4 linked regions of the Schizosaccharomyces pombe genome follow. The gene in region 4 interacts genetically with the main gene of each other region. Each region holds a gene or a part of one and is shown on either strand. Other genes may lie near its edges.

Region 1 (4,201 bases), on a different chromosome or scaffold from region 4:
CCTAGGGAAATTAATGCTTTGGTCCCATAATAGCGCAGAGGGAGAAAATATTACAACTGAAAGTTTCTTTTCTGTGCATTTGGCTATTACATCTAGTACAGTTGCACGTCTCACATCGCCTTCGCGCAAGTTTCTATTTGACCAGATTAAGGGGTGCGACATTGACTGTATAATTATAACTATTCCATTTTCATTAGTTTGCCAATTTCGTGTTGCATATATCCAACTATGTGGTTCTGACGGTGAAGATTCCAATGGTATAGATATTCGTGTTAGAAGGGAATTTTGTAAAGTCCAACTGTAAACGTGATCTAATTTCAATTGCAAGTTAACTCCTGAATTAAATGATTACCCTACCAAGTACAGCAAAATAGAATTTTTCGTTGTACTCTTTATCTTTGGTAACTTGAAATTCATATAGCTCATTTGGCGCGTTCAACTTCCTCAAGTAAAAATCGTTGGTAATTTGGAGATTCATGTCTTCAAGACAATTCCCAAAGTTGACGTCCCTTTGGAGTACACGGGATTTCTTTTTCCTAAACATATGTAAGGCCTACTTACCAATAATAAATTACGATAAGTCGGTTAGTAGTAGGTGACATTACAAAATAATTGAATGGTGACTCAATTTTTGTTGTTAAAAAATATATATATGAATTTGTAGATCAATACTACATAGTTTATTCTATATATTTAATAAAAAAAAGGAGGAAAGCATTGTAAGTTCATATGGTTTTAGGTCTTCAAATTTCAACGTATAAACCACTTCAATTTTTTGATAATTAAATCATCTTATTTCTAATATATCTATTTGTATAGGTGTAAACACCGAGAAGTTTCTTCATAGTGTATCCCTAACCTTCTTCGTCACGATAATAATTTAACCCATTTACTAAGAATGTATGCTGAAAACCTTCTCACAATGACCAACTAAAACAAAGAGAAACTCTTGAATTGTCTACTTAAAAATGCCGTATTTTTTCATATGGTGCACTTCGATAACAAAAAAGCAGTTTACAACATTGCACAAAAGGATTGTTTCACTGATCAGCCGTCTCCTTCTTTTTAAGCTCCGCCATATATTGTGCGAATTTACTTTGAGGATGACTGTGTAATCCACATTCTGTTTTCTCTCGACCGCGCCAACGTCCGGCACGTTCATCTTCACCTTCTCTAACTGGTTGAGTAGAGTGCCAGTCACCAACTGATCTGTAACCCTTGTTCAGAAGTTCATTATATGGAACGTTGTTTGTAATAATATAATTATGAACTTCAGTAAAAGACCAGTTAGCCAAGGGGTTGATCTTTAATACTGGTCCATCCAGCTGAACAATGGGCAAAGATCCGCGCTCTCCACCTTGACTACGGCGGCGGCCAGTAAACACAGCAAGTACATTTAAGTCAGAATAAGCACGACTTGCTGGTTCCACTTTGACTAAAAAGTCATACCGAGATTCATCTGTCTCCCAAAGCTTCTCACCAAACTTCTGAGCAAATTCCTTTTCGTTGGCTGCTTCAGCACAACGATAGACGTGAACAGGCACGTTAGGATACTTAGTTTTGACTTTTTCAAGAAGATCCAGTGTTTCTGGGAAATGATGAAGTGTGTTGATAAAAATCAGAGGAACATTCATATCCATTTTCGATAACATGTCCATAATAACAAGCCCGGACAGTCCTAACGCAGATGTTTGAAACAAAGAAGGAAGTGTCCAACGGCACCATTTTAAGATATCTTGAGGACTAAGCTCCGATAACTGCTTGTTGATGTATTCGAGATGTTCTGGGTGAAACAAGGTTTTCGCTTGCAATTTATTAGCAGGCGTATCGATTGAGCTCATATTGAGTACAATAAATTAGAAAAACCAAAATTTGGGACGAAATCAATTATGTCGGCGAGGAACCAATGGTTTAAACCGAAGATAAAAAGTCGAAAACTTTTCAAAAAAACCAAAAAAAAAATTTGAGTCGTGTACGCAGAAAAATTTTACTTACACTTACTTTTATAGTTTTATAGAAGCTATTGGTGTGCTCTGTAAGACTTTTAGAGAATAGTCAGACAGGTTTGGAAAATAATTATTACGGAAGATCTGCATCGATGCTTACAAAGGAAGAGGTAACAAGACGATACCTATTTTAGTTGGTAATAGTAAATTGTAGAAAAAAAGAATAAGATCATTAGCATTTAAGTATAGTTAGTGAATTGTATACTAGAATAAATGAATATTATTAAATGTATCAAATACGAGATGAAAGAGAGAGATTTTGCGCATTTTAATGTTACTACACCGTTTTTTTATTTTTGGTTTTAAATTTATAACTCTAATGAACTAAAAATTTCTCTTTAATTATTTCAATAACGTTAGTCAAAGGTTGATGCACAAATCTTTTATAACGTTTTGTATATTATAGTTAATATTAAAGGTGTGTAATAAGGAGACGAAAAAAATTTTTTATGGTATAAACCTTCGTAAATCCAATATGCAAAAAAAGGGCACTTTGTTTTAAGCAATTAATTTACAACTCCAAGAACCAGAATAAATATCCGACAAAAAGGGAATGATAAGAAAAAGTCTTAGCCTAATAAACCCACCAAACTCATAAACAAATACTAAAAGACAATGTATAAGATACATAAAAATGAAGGACCAGTGAACATTCCAATCCAGAAAAACACATTACCAAGGATATCGCGTTTTTTGAAAGCAAACATTTGTTGGAGGTCATAAAGAGGAATTTGTAATAATTGAAATGTTAATATGTAACACCGGAATTTACCAGTTGCGAGCAGCATCACAAATTCGTGTACAAGAGCGGAAATTAAAAAAGTGAGTAGAACAGCGTGAGATTTTTTTAATTTGAAACCGGAAATTGATGAATGGTAAACATGTCTCATGAGAAAAACGTGGACAGGCTTATTCCATTCGCGCGAAAATTCATCCCATGTAACTGTATTCCACCAAGCACCATAAAATCCACGGTCGGCAAATTTAGTGATTTCAGCAAATGCATTAAGAATGCAATCAAAAATCAGGTAAAACATGATAAGGTAAAGTATGATAGCGGGAAACATAATTTTGTTCATTAACAAGGGAGCAATGCGTAGCTTCCCTATGAAGTCAAGATCTTTGACAGCCACAGCACTTGGAACGAAATACCAATCTACAAGAGCCAAGGTGAGAGCTAGTAAACCGAATGTGGAGCCTGCTTTAAATGCCATATAATGCCAACGGAAATGGGCAACTCTAGGAAACTCCATACTATAGACAAGGGATGGAACTAATAAATAATCAACGTAATTAAAGAAATTGATGTTATCAGGATAAACAACATTGCCCACTTCGCTACGCATCTGGCGTGACAAATATTTTGCTGTTAAAGCGACAATTTCTTCTGCCTGCAATGTAGATATCGTTTCAGCAGGCTTATTGGGAAAAGTCAGTTCAAACGTGTATTTCTCATCTTTCTCGGTGGAATTCAGGCATTCACGAACAAACTTTAAAAGTTTTTCGTATTCATTATGCAATATACGAATCTCACTGATATAGCCCATATGGTGAGAATAAGAAAATTGTTTCATAATTAGAACGGCACAATGCAGCGTGAAGAAAACACATTGAACAATTGGAAAATCTCGATGCTTAACCCAATAGACAGCTAACACCATATAAAAGCCCTGCCACAAAGTTTGGATTGTGTAACCCAAATTAGCCCATCTAATCATGTTCTTCTCAATACACACTTGTAAACCATAACTAAAAAAGCTGAGGCAAATCATAAGGAAATCTGAGCTAAACAACACGAAAAACTGGCGAAAGACCTGTCTAGCTAGTGGTAAACCAAGCAAAGTATCGCGTTGCCAATAACTTCTTGCATATAACTGTAGTACCCATGCAGCCATTGAAAGCCAAAAAAGCACATAAAACCCTCTAAACTCACTTTTTGCGAAATAATTAGGATCGGTTACACGATCAAAAATCGATTTACGAGGCTTAAACTTATAATCATGGTAAACTTTTCCTGCAATTAATAATTGTTTATGACGATCCAGAGGAAATTCAACAACGTTTGCGTTATTTTTATCACCCTTGGATTTGACAACGAGTCGGCATTCGGGAAGAGCCTTCAATAGACTCATACTGGGATGAACATTTGGTTTGTTAATCGTTGTGCTTATATCGCTAAGCGGAGATGGAGTAAT
Region 2 (3,160 bases), on a different chromosome or scaffold from region 4:
TTCCTGCCGTAAAGTGTTCACAATTTTTGGCATAATATTCATTTCTAAAGCCTTTTTCTGAGCTATGAAATTATTGCTAAGCGCTGATGCCAAAACAACAGACGACATTGAACGAATCGTATTTGGATAGTCTTTCCCATCCATCAAAACAAAAAGTTGATCGCACAGAGGCTGTTCAAGTACATCCTGACCAAATTTTATATCATGAGCCAAATCACGCATTGTTTCTAAAGACGACAACACAATGCTTGGGTCTGAAGTATCAGGATTTAAAATTACAGAAGATGACTGATCGAACAACTGTCTATCGTAAAGTGAAACAGATGAATCTGAGCTTACAGTCCTCACATTCAAAAAAAGGTAACATATTGCAAGAAATAGATTCGACAAAGAGAATGTTAAAGTAAAAAAAATTCTGTAAATTTGAGTATTTCTTTTCTTTTTAGACGAGTTTCCCAGAATCGAAAACATTGAACCGATTAATCTCCAATTTTTTCACTCCTGTTAGAGAGTGGTTTATGGTAGGATAGATTTCAAGAAAAAAAAATCCATAGCATGATTAGGCAATTGCCGCTGGTAAATGGAAAACGTAGCAATAAAATTCATGTTAAAAAATAAGAATACGATACGGACGTTGTGGCAGGCATGGAAGCCTTCTAACGAAAATGTAGTAATTGAGTATTTCGCTTTTTGGCAACAACTCAAATTGAGAATTGATTAAAAAAATTGAGCTCAATCAGTTTTCAATTTGAGACAAGTACTTTGAAATTTCCGCCTCAAAAGTTGCACTTGATATTTGGCCATCTTCTTCAAAAATGTGAGCAACAGGAACCGACCATTCAAGTTGAACAGCATTTCTGTTTTTGAGTACGGTAAATTTAGTAGTGATTAGAGGCTTATTTTTCAAAGGTAAAAAGGTATCCGCAGAAATTTTGATGTGTCTTTCTTTTTTCGTAGCAACATAAACAGTACTACCCTTGACTACAGAAGACCAAAATGTGAGCAAGCAGGAAGCTAGGAAATATAAAGGTAAAAGATACTTTAAGTAAGATTTTAAAACACCAAAACCATAAACATACTCAATGCCAAATGCGAGGCCGGCGGGTATAATGCAAGCTATTGCGATCAGCAAACGAATATCTTCAAATACAAAGGATTGCTTATAACCATTTTTGTTAAAATGGTTTGTTAATTCTTTATCAAATTTAGATTTGAAATCTGAAACGTTATATTTTGGCATTTTTACTATTAGCTTAATTATGGTAGAGGAAGCAAGGCTGTAGTTACTGATGATCAGATATGCGGTTTCGTTGATACGATGGCATGATGATTTTTTAAAATTAAGTAACCTAAAAGATGTTTTAATATTTAATATAAATGCCTGAGAGCAAAAACATGAACTCCGCTACTGGAACGAAAGCAAAACAGTCGATTACTAAGTACTTTATAATACTATCATGCTCTTTCAAATACAACGAGCCATAAATTTGAAATAATAGCCAAATAAAAAATATATATGGATTCTCAATAGAAATTGGCGGAAGGGTTTCATAACAAATTAATTTGGTACAAAATATCATGCTCATTTCCTTGTCTCGATAATAATATCAGAATTGCAATCGCAATGACTGTTGAAAAGGATTATGAAATGGAAAATGTTGTTTGAATGTAGCAGTACTTGGCGTTTAGTAAAAAAATAGAGGAGTACAATATTGATATTTCCTTTCGCAAAACCTGTTTGTTCCAATAGTGATATCCCTCGATGAACATATTCCTCGCTTTTATTTATTCAATTTTCACTCGCTAATTGTAAGTTATTATGCAAATGAAGATAAGGAACCCGGTACAAACCGTTTAACAAGCAATTGCTATTTTCTATAGGAAAAGCTAGATTGCAAAAACTACAAAGCATATTGATTTCGTTTGATACAAATGTTTTTTAGGCAAGACAGAGCCACTTGCGAGGGCTCCAATCCTAAATCCAATTTCTGAAATTCGCCTTTTTTACAAATAAAATGTATGAACGAATTTGAAAATGGAACTTTTCTCTCTATCCACGAGTAATGATTAATTAACCATTCAATAAACTTTTAACCTTAATTCATTGTAATTACTCTTTCTTTACTCTTCACATTGGTTTTGCTATTTTGTCTACATGAACGAGTCGTACCGCTGTACGCAAAAATCCTACACTAGGATCAAGACATACAATTTCTACTAAAGCCAAGACAGGTTGCGAAATCAATCAACTTGCAAATATGCAAGCTAATGGGTTTTCGTTTGGCTTTTACGATGAACCAAACAATTTAAACGGCCAAGATGTCGGTGCGGATTCGTTACCGAGCGTTGCTATAGAATCGGATTCTCTGGGACATATGTTGAAGTATATTCCAGAAAAGTTATCATACGCTCGTGTTTCTGGGTTAGGACATACGTTTGTACAAAGGGAATTATGGGATGTGAAAATGCAATTGATGGAACAAGATGATTCCATAGAAAGCGACGATAAACTCAAAGTTTTAGATGGTTGTAATGATCTTGTTCCTAACGTTTACGAGGGTGGTTACAAAACTTGGGAATGTAGCCTGGACCTTGCTAATGAAATCAAGAAGATAGATGTTGTAAAAAACAACTTGACGACGGTCTTGGAGTTGGGTTGTGGAAGTGCAATTCCTATTTTGAGCTGTTTTCAGGAATTTTACAAGCATCGTATCCCTTGTACTTTGGTTTTCCAAGATTTCAATGTTGATGTTCTTCGTTACGTTACTTTACCTAACCTTTTGCTAAACTGGTACTTTTGTACTCAAGAACATGATTCTTCAGAAAAGCATGGTACCATCGATGTATCCCCTAGTTTACTACAAGAATTTAGTGATGATCTTGCTCGTACCAATATCTATTGTGAATTCTTGTGCGGTTGTTGGAGCGAAGAGATGCAATTGTTAATCCAACGTACCTACGGAGATCACTACTTTTCTCTTGTTTTAGCTTCTGAAACCATTTATTCCCTTCCGTCACTCGAAAACTTTCTTTACATGCTTCTCAAAAATACCAAAAATCTCGCATTAGTTGCTGGTAAGGATTTGTATTTTGGAGTCGGGGGTAGTATCTTGGAATTTAATTCGAGACTGCAGAAACTTGTTGATGACCCTAATTCTCT
Region 3 (4,836 bases), on a different chromosome or scaffold from region 4:
CAATGGGATTAGAAAAGGAATCTATACACAATGCATATGCTTGATCTTCGGAGCTTTTGAGATTGCTTTCCAACTCATCAACTGCATCCTTCAATCCCTGAGCATCGAATGATCTAACCAACATAGTTTTTTCAAGACATGGAAGAGGGAGTGCAGCCGGATTGAAAGTACCTAAAGTATCAATCCACATAATTCTATCAAACCTAGAGTAATAACTTTTTAGAATCCAGTAAAGCATCAAGTTTGCAGAATTTCCACTAAATTGAGTAACCTGATTCATAATGTCAGAAAATATATAAGCTGCTTTAAGAATTTGCTTGGTATGCTTTAAACTTTCGATAGAATTGTTTTTTCCAACGATATTGATGATCAATGAAATTGATTTTTGCAATCATCCCCTGGTTATGCTAATGGCATTCTAAAAGAGATAAACACCCAAATGCGTTGAAGGAAAAGATACGTACAATCGTCAAAAATTTCCGGAATGTTCAACAAGTATTTAACTAATCATGAGTGTGTGTTGAATCTTATCTCATGTTTTTTGTTGAACTATCTACATGGATTATATTTAATTAGGGTATGGATTAAAGAAGCAGAAAGGTCGTCAACATTCGAGTACAGTATATAGCCACACTGGTGTGGATTTGTATATATTGAGAATAACCCTTTAAGAATAAAAAGAAAAAATAGAAAAGCATCAACTAACTGTTTTTAAATGCTACATATGCGAATTTAATTCTCTCTAATAATGCCATGTATTACAAGTAACCTCATGTATCGATTGATTTAATCATTATCGTTACAAAATTTTTATAAATTATATAATAAAAAAAAGGAATATTAACAATACATTATTTACCGAAGAACCCTATAAATTTGAACAGCACTGACAACTGTAAGAGGTAAACAACCATTTTTTCAAACGTTCAATGAGTGTGACACTCCAAAACAAATGAATCCCCAAATCCCAAATATGGGAGAGCTCTATACGATTGACTGCTGTTTTTTCCCCGAAAATTTCTTCAAGGTCAAAAATTAAATAGCACTAAATAGAAGAAAAAAACCCACCAAAGAAAATTATGAACTAATTTTGACCACACCTGTAATTCAATGTTTATGCAAAACCTTCATAAGAAAACCCAATACAACTTTTAAATTTTTGTTCCAATAGAGTTGCTTTTCAAAATGCTGCCTTTAAATAATAACAATTGTTTCATCAAATTTGCTCCTTCAAGACATAAGTGATTATTTTTATCGCACTAATCACTTGCATTTTTAGCTATAGTGTTTACCAAATATCCTTTGTACTACGGGACCTATCCATTAAATATAATTGTCCAACTTTACACGTAAGCATTGAAATCCGAAGGCAAGGATGCAGGAATCTGCATATTAGAGTAATGCGGAGCATTGCAACGGAGACAATTACTGCGGCGACGAAAATTAGTAAATCCACACTCACATAACCAATCGCCTTGATCAGTAGTAACGGAAGGACGTGATACTTCTTTAAAGCGTCCATGATCATCGAACCTAGATACATTACCACCATTTTGTCCCCCAAAATTTTGACCATGATTAGCCGTTACTGAATTTATAGAAAGTTGTGAGTAAGGATACACCGAATGATTAGGAGGACTTGTACTCATAACAGGGGGGATGTGAGAATATGAATTATGACTATACGAACCATTCACCGGCCCAGATGCATGATCTGCTACGACTGCAGCTGTAGCACGGCTAGCCCCACAGCGTAAGCAGCAAACATTTTTTGCGAAATTGTGATATCCACAACCCTCAGAGCCACATTTCCAATCACCAGCACGAAAAGGGACATTACCACCGAATGAGCGTGAAGAATGATGATGATTTACAGCATTATTGCCATTCTGATGCTGAAGATCACTTTGCATGGTATTTTCGTTAGAATGATGGACAGATCCACCATAGTTGGCAATAAAGTGAGAGGAGCCGTTGCCGTATGAATTTCCATAAGGGAAATCAGGTGAAAAAGTATTGCTACCAGTAGCAGCTGAAACATGAGTAGGACCAGGAAATGAGCATCGGAAACAAGACGTTCGACGTTGAAAATTGCTGAAACCGCACATTGGGCAATTCCAATCCCCAGGGCGTGGGCGATTCTTACTAGAAGGAAAAGGAATTAGAATGTCTGAAGCTTTATCTAAAACCTTTGTACTACTGGGAATAATTTCCAGCATCCGATCTCCTAAGCAATATCCATTAAAGGCAAGAGCATCGGCAGCATCTTCATGACTAGCAAATAGCACAAAACCTGTACCCGTAGATTTGTAAGGTTCGGGAGTCTTTAAAGTCCATAAAGCTACGGGATGAACCCCATGATTAGTAAACCAACTTTCCAACTCGAGCTGTGTTACATCGTTGGTCAAACCTGCAACGTGTACAATTTTTGACCGTTCTGCATAAAAGCTTCGTGCGTCTGCTTGACAGTTAATGGGTTGTGTAAGCACCGAAGGAAGAGAATGACCTCGAGAATCTTTCTCTGCTTTACGAAGCAATAAGGTGGTAGCATTTGCAAGGCGCCAGCATTGAGTAAGACCTTTGGTTATGTAAGGAGCATCTGAAGGTGATAATTCAATTGCTTTTGACTCTGTAATAGGTGGTAAAGAGTCGACATCTAATTTACCAAAAATATGAGAAAGCGTTATTGTGTATGGTGGTACTGCACCCATGCGAATCTGCCACTTGGCGTATTCGCTTGATAAATCAAACAAGCGAGGATGGCGCATGTAGGAAGGTAGCGTAATTCCCTGATCCCGTGCTTCTTTTGGCAATAATACACGAAGCTCTCTTCCATTCATAACAACAAATGTAAAAGGTTTTCCTTGGAAGTTTAATCGTTCTTGGATTGAATTATCCAATGTGAAGATAGCTTCAGTTAAGGAACTAGCAGAACCACAAATTCCATGACGAGAACTATCTTCACGAATACTACACGATTCACAGTGTTGTTTTTCCAAAGTTTTTCCATCTAATATAACCCAGCATATTTCATGAATTTCACATGGCGCCCGGCCAATGCTAATGCCGTGATCGTCAAGATTTGTTTCAAAGTGCAAAACAACCAAGTCGCCTACCGATTCTGGCAGAGGCATTGTTGGACTTGGTAGCTTTGACATGATATTGCAAAGCTACAAACCCGTTGGTGTTTTTCTTTGTCACTCACAAGTACAGTCACAAAAGTAACAAATCTAGATTTAGAATCCACCTAAGCGGAATTATTCAAAGGAGAAAAATCTTTTATGAACAATAATATGTACAACTGATGTTACTGTCGAATCGTGTATTGTTGTGGGATTCTTTTGCATGCAAAGCAGAAAATTTAGCAATACTTTCGAAACACAATGAAAATGAAAATTTTACGATAAATTATTATACCATAATTTAGCGCATCAAGCATTTGGTATTCTTATGTCAGCAATACTACACTACGTTGAGTATCACTATATGTCACATGTTCTAATTATATATCGTACCATGTATAATACGATATGGAGATTGATCTTAATGATAATCTATTAAGATCAATATTATCTGAATACTATAAATAGAGCTACTGCTGAACCTCGTTCCTCAGTTCAGTTATGAGCTATATTAGTGATAGTTAACATTATAACCCAGTTAATACAATACCTATACTCAGTTGCTACTTATACAACCTGTGTATTGTAATATAATAGATCACAAGGAAAACTCACCGCAGTTCTACGTATCCTTAAATCAGATACCAAACTGCGTAGCTTACATCTTATGAACAATACCGGGGTTTTTTGTAACCACGTAAACAATCAAAGAACTGTTGTTTATTTTGACAATTGTATCAGGAAGTCAAGGGAAAAGTTATACTGAAAAGCCATCCATTGAAAAGTATTTGTACATCTTGCTACATAAAAAAGCTGATAGTAATTTACTTACACAACTGATAATTTACTAAATTACCGTCATTTCAATTAGAGTTGGTGTAATGTAGCAAAACATAAATTTATCAGCAATAACTCTACAATCGATAAAATGCGACCAAGTTATAGCTTAAAATTGATACAACGAATTTTATACGGACAAATAAAGGGTTAAAATTTACGTTAAGGATTTATTAAATGCCTTCCGTACAACCTAAATGAAGACTAAGAGTAATATAACGCAACGTTAATCAGCTTAGCGATTCTAAATGTGCTCTTTATTATTTGATGTGAACTGCAATAGTAAAAATCTTTGTCACCGTTAGCCTAATCGTAGATTGTATTAATCAAAGTAGCACAAAGCAAATTTTTCAAAACCTTTGAAAAATATTCAAATTCAGCTTTGTGTAGAATACACACTAGACTACAACGATGGCAGGAATAGAATCAAAGCAAAGAAGAGCTCAGAAAAAGGCAGCTAAAGCTGCTATGAAGGAAAAGAAAAACAAGGAAAGCAATGAATCTTCTACTTCTGTTGAGGCATTAAATGAGAAAGAAATGATCAATACCATTAAATCTCCTATTATTGAAACAGCTGATACAGCTGATCAAGAGAACGAATCTGAGGGATCAGATGAAGTTGAACTTTCTGATCTTGAAGGAATTGAGTTGGAAGAAGACGCTGATTTGATTAGAAAAAGAAAATTAGCTATAAATAACACTGTTGCACTAGAGAACATCTATGAACGAATTAAATATCCTGATGATATTTCGTTTGTTGAAAACCAAGCTGTTACTACTAAGGAGCCTATAATAATTGAAAATGTTGAGGATGATCTTGCCCGTGAACTGGCCTTTTATAAACAAGGTGTGAGCTCTGTAAAGGCGGCTTTTGCCA
Region 4 (6,456 bases):
AGCCGAAATATTATTACAATTCAAGATTTGTTTTCAAAACGAGAAGCACAGCTTACAGATACACCAAACAAATTGCTCACCGATCACGATCAAAGCGCCAGCGATTATGCTTATGCATTAAAGCTTCAACAGCTTTTTGATTCTGAGAACCAAGCTACTGCTCCGGAAAAGCTTCCTAAAGATGTAATTATACCTGAAGAAGAGTATCATACTGACACATTTAATGTTGTAAAAGAAAGCAATGATAAACCTAAGGAGAATTTAGTTACAAGCGAAGAATGCAAAGCTTCTTTTTTCTCAACTGATAGCGTGAACAAAGATTCCACAATTGATTACGATGCTTTACAGAAAGATCCTTTGACTTACGTGAAAAGTTGTCGAGCCCGATTTGTTTCAAAAGATACAAAAAGCTTCAGTTACTCATCACTTGCTAACACCTTTTCCTTAATTAGTTCTACCAAATCCAGGATACGCATTGTCACATTATTAACCAATTTCCTTCTCACACTTCTGTATGCAGATCCTGATTCCTTAATTGCAACAGTTTGGTTATGTACCAATTCTATTGCCCCCAACTTTTATGGAAAAAACCTTGGTGTCGGACCTGCAATGTACTCTAAAGCTTTGAAAGAAGTTTGTGGCATTACAGCAAGTGCTTTGAAAAATTTATGGAACAAATATGGCGATCCAGGAGATGTAGCGTTCGAAGCTAAAGTGTCTGTGCGCACGTTAAGCAGACCAGAACCTTTGACTATTAAGAAGGTTTATTCTACTTTACTAAAGATTGCTGACAGTAACGGTAATGGTGCCCAGAACCGTAAATTAGAGTTAACTAAATTTTTATTGATAAGTTCTAATGCTGAGGAGGTTCGATATATAGGGAGGAGTATAATGCAAAATCTAAGAATAGGGGCTGTTCAAAACACCATGTTAGCTTCACTAAGCAAAGCTTTTTTTATTTTTGACAATCAAAACGAAATATTTAATTTTAATTCTGACTCACTTCAACAACAATTTCGTCAAGGAGAAGAGATTGTTAAACAAAGTTTCTTTCAGGTCCCTGATTATAACATTTTGGTTGCAACCCTTCTTCGAGAGGGGATAGAAAACTTAAAAGACAATATGTCTATTCGCCCTGGAATCCCAGTAAAACCTATGCTTGGTTCTATCACAAAGAATTTGCAGCATATGTTAGAAAGATTGACTGATCATAACTTCTCTTGTGAGTTCAAGTACGATGGACAAAGAGCACAAATTCATTGCGATAGACTTGGAAACATTAAGATATTTAGCCGCCATTTGGAGGAAATTACAGGAAGATTTCCGGATGTCATTGAAGTTGCTCAATTAGCATTGAAACATTCATGTGATTTTATTATAGAAGGCGAATTGGTGGCTATTGACAAAAGTAATGGTCAGATACTGGATTTTCAAAAACTTTCAACTAGAGAAAGAAAAAAAGTTACAGTGGCTGATATTACAATAGACGTGTGTGTTTTTGTTTTTGATATTATGTTTTGTGATGGGAAATCTTGCTTACAAATGCCTTTAATTGAAAGAAGAAGAATGTTTTTTGAGCATTTTAATTTAATTCCAAATCGCTTTCAGTTCGTGTCTTCTTTGGAAACAAATGAGGAGCAATCCATTCAAGAATTTTTTAGTCTTGCAATTACTAATAAATGCGAAGGATTAATGGTGAAGGTACTGAATGGAACAAACTCAAAGTTTCCTTCAACGTATGAACCTGATAAAAGAGGTGAGGGATGGATTAAAGTCAAACAGGATTATGATGATGAATTTGAGTCATTGGATCTTGTTCCCATAGGCGCTTGGTACGGTAATGGAAGAAAAGCCGGATGGTTCAGTCCAATTTTGCTTGCTGTTTACAATCCAGACACTGGCGCGTATGAAGCAGTCTGTAAATGCATGTCCGGTTTTAGTGACCAATTTTATAAGGAATTAACACAAAAGTATTCCTTAGAATCTGGCAATAGCAGTCTTAAACCCATATATAATTTTTGCGAAACAGGTAAGGTAACTCCACAAATATACTTTGCCCCTCAAGAAGTTTGGGAAATTAAGGGTGCTCAAATAACATCCTCACCTGCATACAAGGCGGCTTTGGGATTAATTCAGGATGATCGCGGTTTATCAATTCGATTCCCACGCTTCATTAGAGTTCGGTCAGACAAAGGACCAGAGGACGCATCCACGAATTCAATATTGGCTGACATGTATATGAAACAACTTAATACTTGATGTTCGTGATGAACTCAAAATGTCAAGGAACATCGTTGATTGTATATTAAATAAATATTATTAAAGGTATGGCAACAAATATATCAATCATCAGTCCTCAAAATCCGATATTGAACCAATATACGCATGCCAAAGATATGTATAGGCTATCGGACAAATAGATGGCTTCTTCTTTTTAGAAATTCTAAAAGTGTTTTGATCGCCACTCTGTAATTTGAATTGATGAGGATCTTCTGGTTTGTCACAAGTTGCTATTCTTTTTGCTAGACGCATATACTCTGGCACAGTTAAATCAGGCATATTATATGGAGAGTCCTTCGAAGTATATAGCAATTCATAAGAAATTTCGGTATCTTTCGTTGCATCCATGTAATTTGACGTGTTTAAGAAATACTGCTTAAATGAAATAGGAGTAAAAAGTGACGGAACGTATGCCGGTCCCAAAGGACCGGGCTTAATATTCTTCCTCTTGTTCTTCTTCTTTTTTTTATTATTCTTCTTTTTTTTCTTCTTTTTCTTGTCTATCTCATAATCTGATTGAGACTGCTCTTCAAGCGTTTCCCAGTTAAAAGAAGTGATTTCAGTTAGCTCTTCCCGATCATCCAGCTGATTAGCAATATCAGAAATATTGTACTCGTAAACGCGAAAAGTTGGAAACATTTCAGGTATAATCGAACCACCAACGGTAGCCAAGGAGTAATTCCCGACGGTTCCATTAAGAAACTCCTCTGTTAAATTCTCGGGAAATGTAGGAAGCTCCGCGTATTGGGCATCAATTAAAGATTTTACATATTTTGGTTGCGCACTTTTGATTCCATAAGATTCTGTATCAACAGGTAACTTATCGAATTCCAAAAACACAAAATGGTTTATGTTCATATGACCATAGAGTTGTCCAACTATAATATCTCGAAACTCATAAAGCAAATCCGTAAAAGAAGTATAACAATCTTCATACCACTGGCCCCTTGTAGGGGGAATATGTCCTAGAAGCCAAACTTTCATTCCCTTTAGCCGATACGCTTCAAGCTGTATTTTGAACCATCGCATAAAAAGAGAACCAGGTTCGTCTAGATTATCATCAGGACAACCATCGACCGCGGCATTTTTGTTTGATAGGTAAAGAGTGTTAATGGAAATTGCTGCTAGCTTGTCCGGAATCACATCACATAGGTAATAAGAGCCCTTTTCAAAAGTGTGTCGTTCCTCATAAGGAATTAAAGCATCCCAAGCACCAGCTAGTTGTCGAGTCATTGAAGATGGACCAGCTTCCATAATGTTATGAGGATATATATCATTATTCCCGATAGCGGAAACAATTGGAACGTCAGGAAACGCCTCTATCATTTTATTAACCAAGTCCTCATTTGAAGCAAGAATTTCACTTTGTGTTCTTGGAAAATGGTTATCATTGTCATGCCTAGAATTATCACCAGTCCACAGTATGAAGTCAATGCCTCCCAGAACATCATCTTGATGTTCCTTAAGCCATTCCAATGTCTTATCAATTAATGCTGGTGAAGAATCACATTCATAACCAGGACCAGGAGAGAGGTAACCCACTTTGCTTTTACCCAAGGGAGTATCGTCAGAATTATGATCATAGGAATGACAATAATGATCGACGGTGGATCCTTTTTCGTAATAAATGTCAGGATGCATATCGGTGATATGCAAAAATCTACCAACAAGTGGTTTTCCTTTGCTATTAACTAAATCATTTGTATGCGCTTTATTTCGCATACTCATAGGGTTGCCAAATGCAAAAGAAGCCCATGTCGACTGTACAAAAAGAACAGCAACCGTGATTACAGAGGGACGCATTCTAAAAAGAAGGAAATCGGTATATAAAAGAAAAAAAAACTTTACCTAAGTAGAAAAAAAGAGGACACTTCAGACTAGGACGAAATTTTCCAAAATCTGTAATACAATTTCCCAGGCAATTTCAAAAACAAAAAATGGTGTTTGAAAGATTCAAGGGCTTTTGAACTCAGTACAACTTAAATAAATCAAAATTTCCCAGTAGCCGTTAATGAAATAAGTATTGTTAATCTGTTTGACAAAAAGATCGATCTAAATTAAGATCACGAGCGGGTAGTCATGAACCGAAGTCCTGCAGAGTCAATAGAAGTTGCTTCTGAGCTTTGCAAACCCCAGAGAACACTTAATTTGGGTTTGGACTATTCGATGCTCGTAATGGAAGCAGTTAAAAGATCCGTGATACTCTTCCCTAGTGAAGACGAATGTTGTGTTCACCGCTATATATGTATGATGAAAGATGTCGCATTTTATATTTTGTCAGAGCTTGCATTACGGTATTAGTTACTAACTTAATTTCGTTAAATGAATAAGGAGGAAAGTGTTTTGCTCATTAACCATTGTCCTGACGCCTTAAAGCGTTGACAGCATCTAAGAACGGGACACTCGTAATTTTGATTGGGAATAAAGTATCCTTCCACATATACTTGCCCCATCAACTCAGTTGATTCTTAATAATAGAATTTACGCCAAAAATATTATTCGTGCAATTGCTTTGAAAGTTGATATAAAAACTTCTCTAAAGGAGTTATTTGAAAATTGTGTTGATTACCGGTTGGTTCGTTTCGTTATAGTATTTGTTGGACAAGCAGGATGGAGAAAAATACAGTTACAGTTCCAAAAACCTTGTTTTCACAAGTTATTCATATTTTCAAGTATGCGGCAATTAATTTGGGCCTTCCTTTCTTGAATGGAGTTATGTTGGGATTCGGGGAGATCTTTGCTCATGCATTTATCCACTCTCTTGGTTGGGCTCCAGGTCATACTAGGATTTATTCTATTCAAAGACATCAGTATATTCAAGCCTAAAATGAAGCATAGCTGTGCGAGGAAATTTATCTTTAATATTTGAGGGAAATGGTGTTTGCTTATTCGTGATTTTTTTATTTTTTCATTTTAAGCTGAGGCGAGTATTCATAAAATTTGAGATACTCGAATGCTTAACTCATGTTTCTCTCAGATGTATTATGGTTTCAGCTTTGCACTCTCTTTAATGATCGTTTTCTTTAGTTTTATTGTTTTTATTTTCTTTTCCCACAATATTAAGAGCTTCTTTGGCACAATGCAAAGAATATATATGCTCAAGGGATGGAAAACGAATTAAGCCCAAATGAATTGTGTTTATATTTGCAAAATAACATTTAATTTCCTTTGCATTTAATTTATTTATGATCGTTTTCCTTGAGCTTCCTTCTTCTGTTTTTTAAGTATAATTACTTTTGATTTTATTTATGCCCTTTATATTAACATTATGTGACACGTTATACATCGCTTCTTCGGACCGACAAATTGATTTGAGTAGCATAGTATAGAAAAAGGTGTCAACGAAGATTTATATGAGCTGTGAGACAAGTATCGAAGCTATCATCATTGTTTAAAATTGTTCATTATTTTTACATTACTTTGATTTGAATGACAGTACTACGCTTTTTGTTGTTTTCCTCATCACATCGCTTTTTTAAATAATTGTTATTGTATTCGAACAACGATAGTGCTCTAACTTAATGACTAAAACACGCTTATTTGTAAAGGCGTGTAAGTATTACTATTCTCAGAGCAACAAATCTCAACTGATTATAAATTGATTGCACAGCCCATTGATTCATTAGAATTTTACAGGTTATTTCTGTCGTTGCTCAAGCTTTGAAAAATATACTTTTGAATGATTCTTAAAACTTACATTATCGCATGCTTGGTACACTCGGTTGGCTTTAATGATGTTATAAGACAATTTCAAGTTTGATGATACAAAAAAGGATTCTGATCCTCGAACTGAATCTTCTTGTTTATGCATAAAAAGCAGATACCGACTACTTAAAGTCAGCAAATCTGAAAAAATAAATTATCATTAAATTTTTGTCAAATTTACGAATACTGACTTCACAATTTGCTATATAAACTTGAAGATTTATTGCATTAGCCAACAAGAATACTATATTTCTATTTTCTTCCAAGATGTAGCATGGACAAACCTAAACAGTAGTCGTTCTATATTTTATAGCTATTTAAATAATTAACTATATTACCCATCGCACAGAATTACATAGCATATTATTTAAATCTTGGATATACGCTCTACAAGCATTGCTATACACTTTCAGTGGTTTTTAAAAACATGTATTAACAGGATTCCAAGCAAACTTTAGTACGCATCCAACA

The links.
Region 1: of SPOM_SPBC713.07C (region 4) and met16, changing one suppresses a phenotype caused by changing the other (phenotypic suppression), as found in Schizosaccharomyces pombe (one study listed by BioGRID).
Region 2: of SPOM_SPBC713.07C (region 4) and spc2, changing one suppresses a phenotype caused by changing the other (phenotypic suppression), as found in Schizosaccharomyces pombe (one study listed by BioGRID).
Region 3: of SPOM_SPBC713.07C (region 4) and dri1, changing one suppresses a phenotype caused by changing the other (phenotypic suppression), as found in Schizosaccharomyces pombe (one study listed by BioGRID).

Annotation. Positions count from the first base shown.
Region 1 is NC_003424.3:2,305,369-2,309,569, reverse strand, and holds met16 (phosphoadenosine phosphosulfate reductase), read right to left. Parts: upstream 2,047-4,201; 5' UTR 1,842-2,046; coding exon 1,041-1,841; 3' UTR 692-1,040; downstream 1-691. Other genes in the region: arb2 (argonaute binding protein 2), read right to left, coding at 1-311, 358-544; acyl-coA-sterol acyltransferase Are1, read right to left, coding at 2,612-4,201. UniProt on the Schizosaccharomyces pombe protein: The NADP dependent reduction of PAPS into sulfite involves thioredoxin which probably plays the role of a thiol carrier. Required for methionine synthesis.
Region 2 is NC_003424.3:3,862,265-3,865,424, forward strand, and holds spc2 (signal peptidase subunit Spc2), read right to left. Parts: upstream 1,241-3,160; coding exon 737-1,240; downstream 1-736. Other genes in the region: protein Sil1, read right to left, coding at 1-471; ribosome methytransferase Hpm1, read left to right, coding at 2,259-3,160. UniProt on the Schizosaccharomyces pombe protein: Component of the signal peptidase complex (SPC) which catalyzes the cleavage of N-terminal signal sequences from nascent proteins as they are translocated into the lumen of the endoplasmic reticulum.
Region 3 is NC_003424.3:2,008,562-2,013,397, forward strand, and holds dri1 (RNA-binding protein involved in heterochromatin assembly Dri1), read right to left. Parts: upstream 3,145-4,836; 5' UTR 3,135-3,144; coding exon 1,344-3,134; 3' UTR 784-1,343; downstream 1-783. Other genes in the region: rdl1 (RAD51D-like protein 1), read right to left, coding at 1-280; rRNA processing protein Ebp2, read left to right, coding at 4,371-4,836. UniProt on the Schizosaccharomyces pombe protein: Mediates heterochromatin assembly by promoting RNAi-mediated heterochromatin silencing and histone deacetylation. Binds pericetromeric transcripts and recruits the RNA-induced transcriptional silencing (RITS) complex to heterochromatin.
Region 4 is NC_003423.3:877,570-884,025, forward strand, and holds SPOM_SPBC713.07C (polyphosphatase), read right to left. Parts: upstream 4,520-6,456; 5' UTR 4,084-4,519; coding exon 2,350-4,083; 3' UTR 2,260-2,349; downstream 1-2,259. Other genes in the region: adl1 (DNA ligase), read left to right, coding at 1-2,259; MIM complex subunit Mim1, read left to right, coding at 4,891-5,106. UniProt on the Schizosaccharomyces pombe protein: Catalyzes the hydrolysis of inorganic polyphosphate (polyP) chains of many hundreds of phosphate residues into shorter lengths.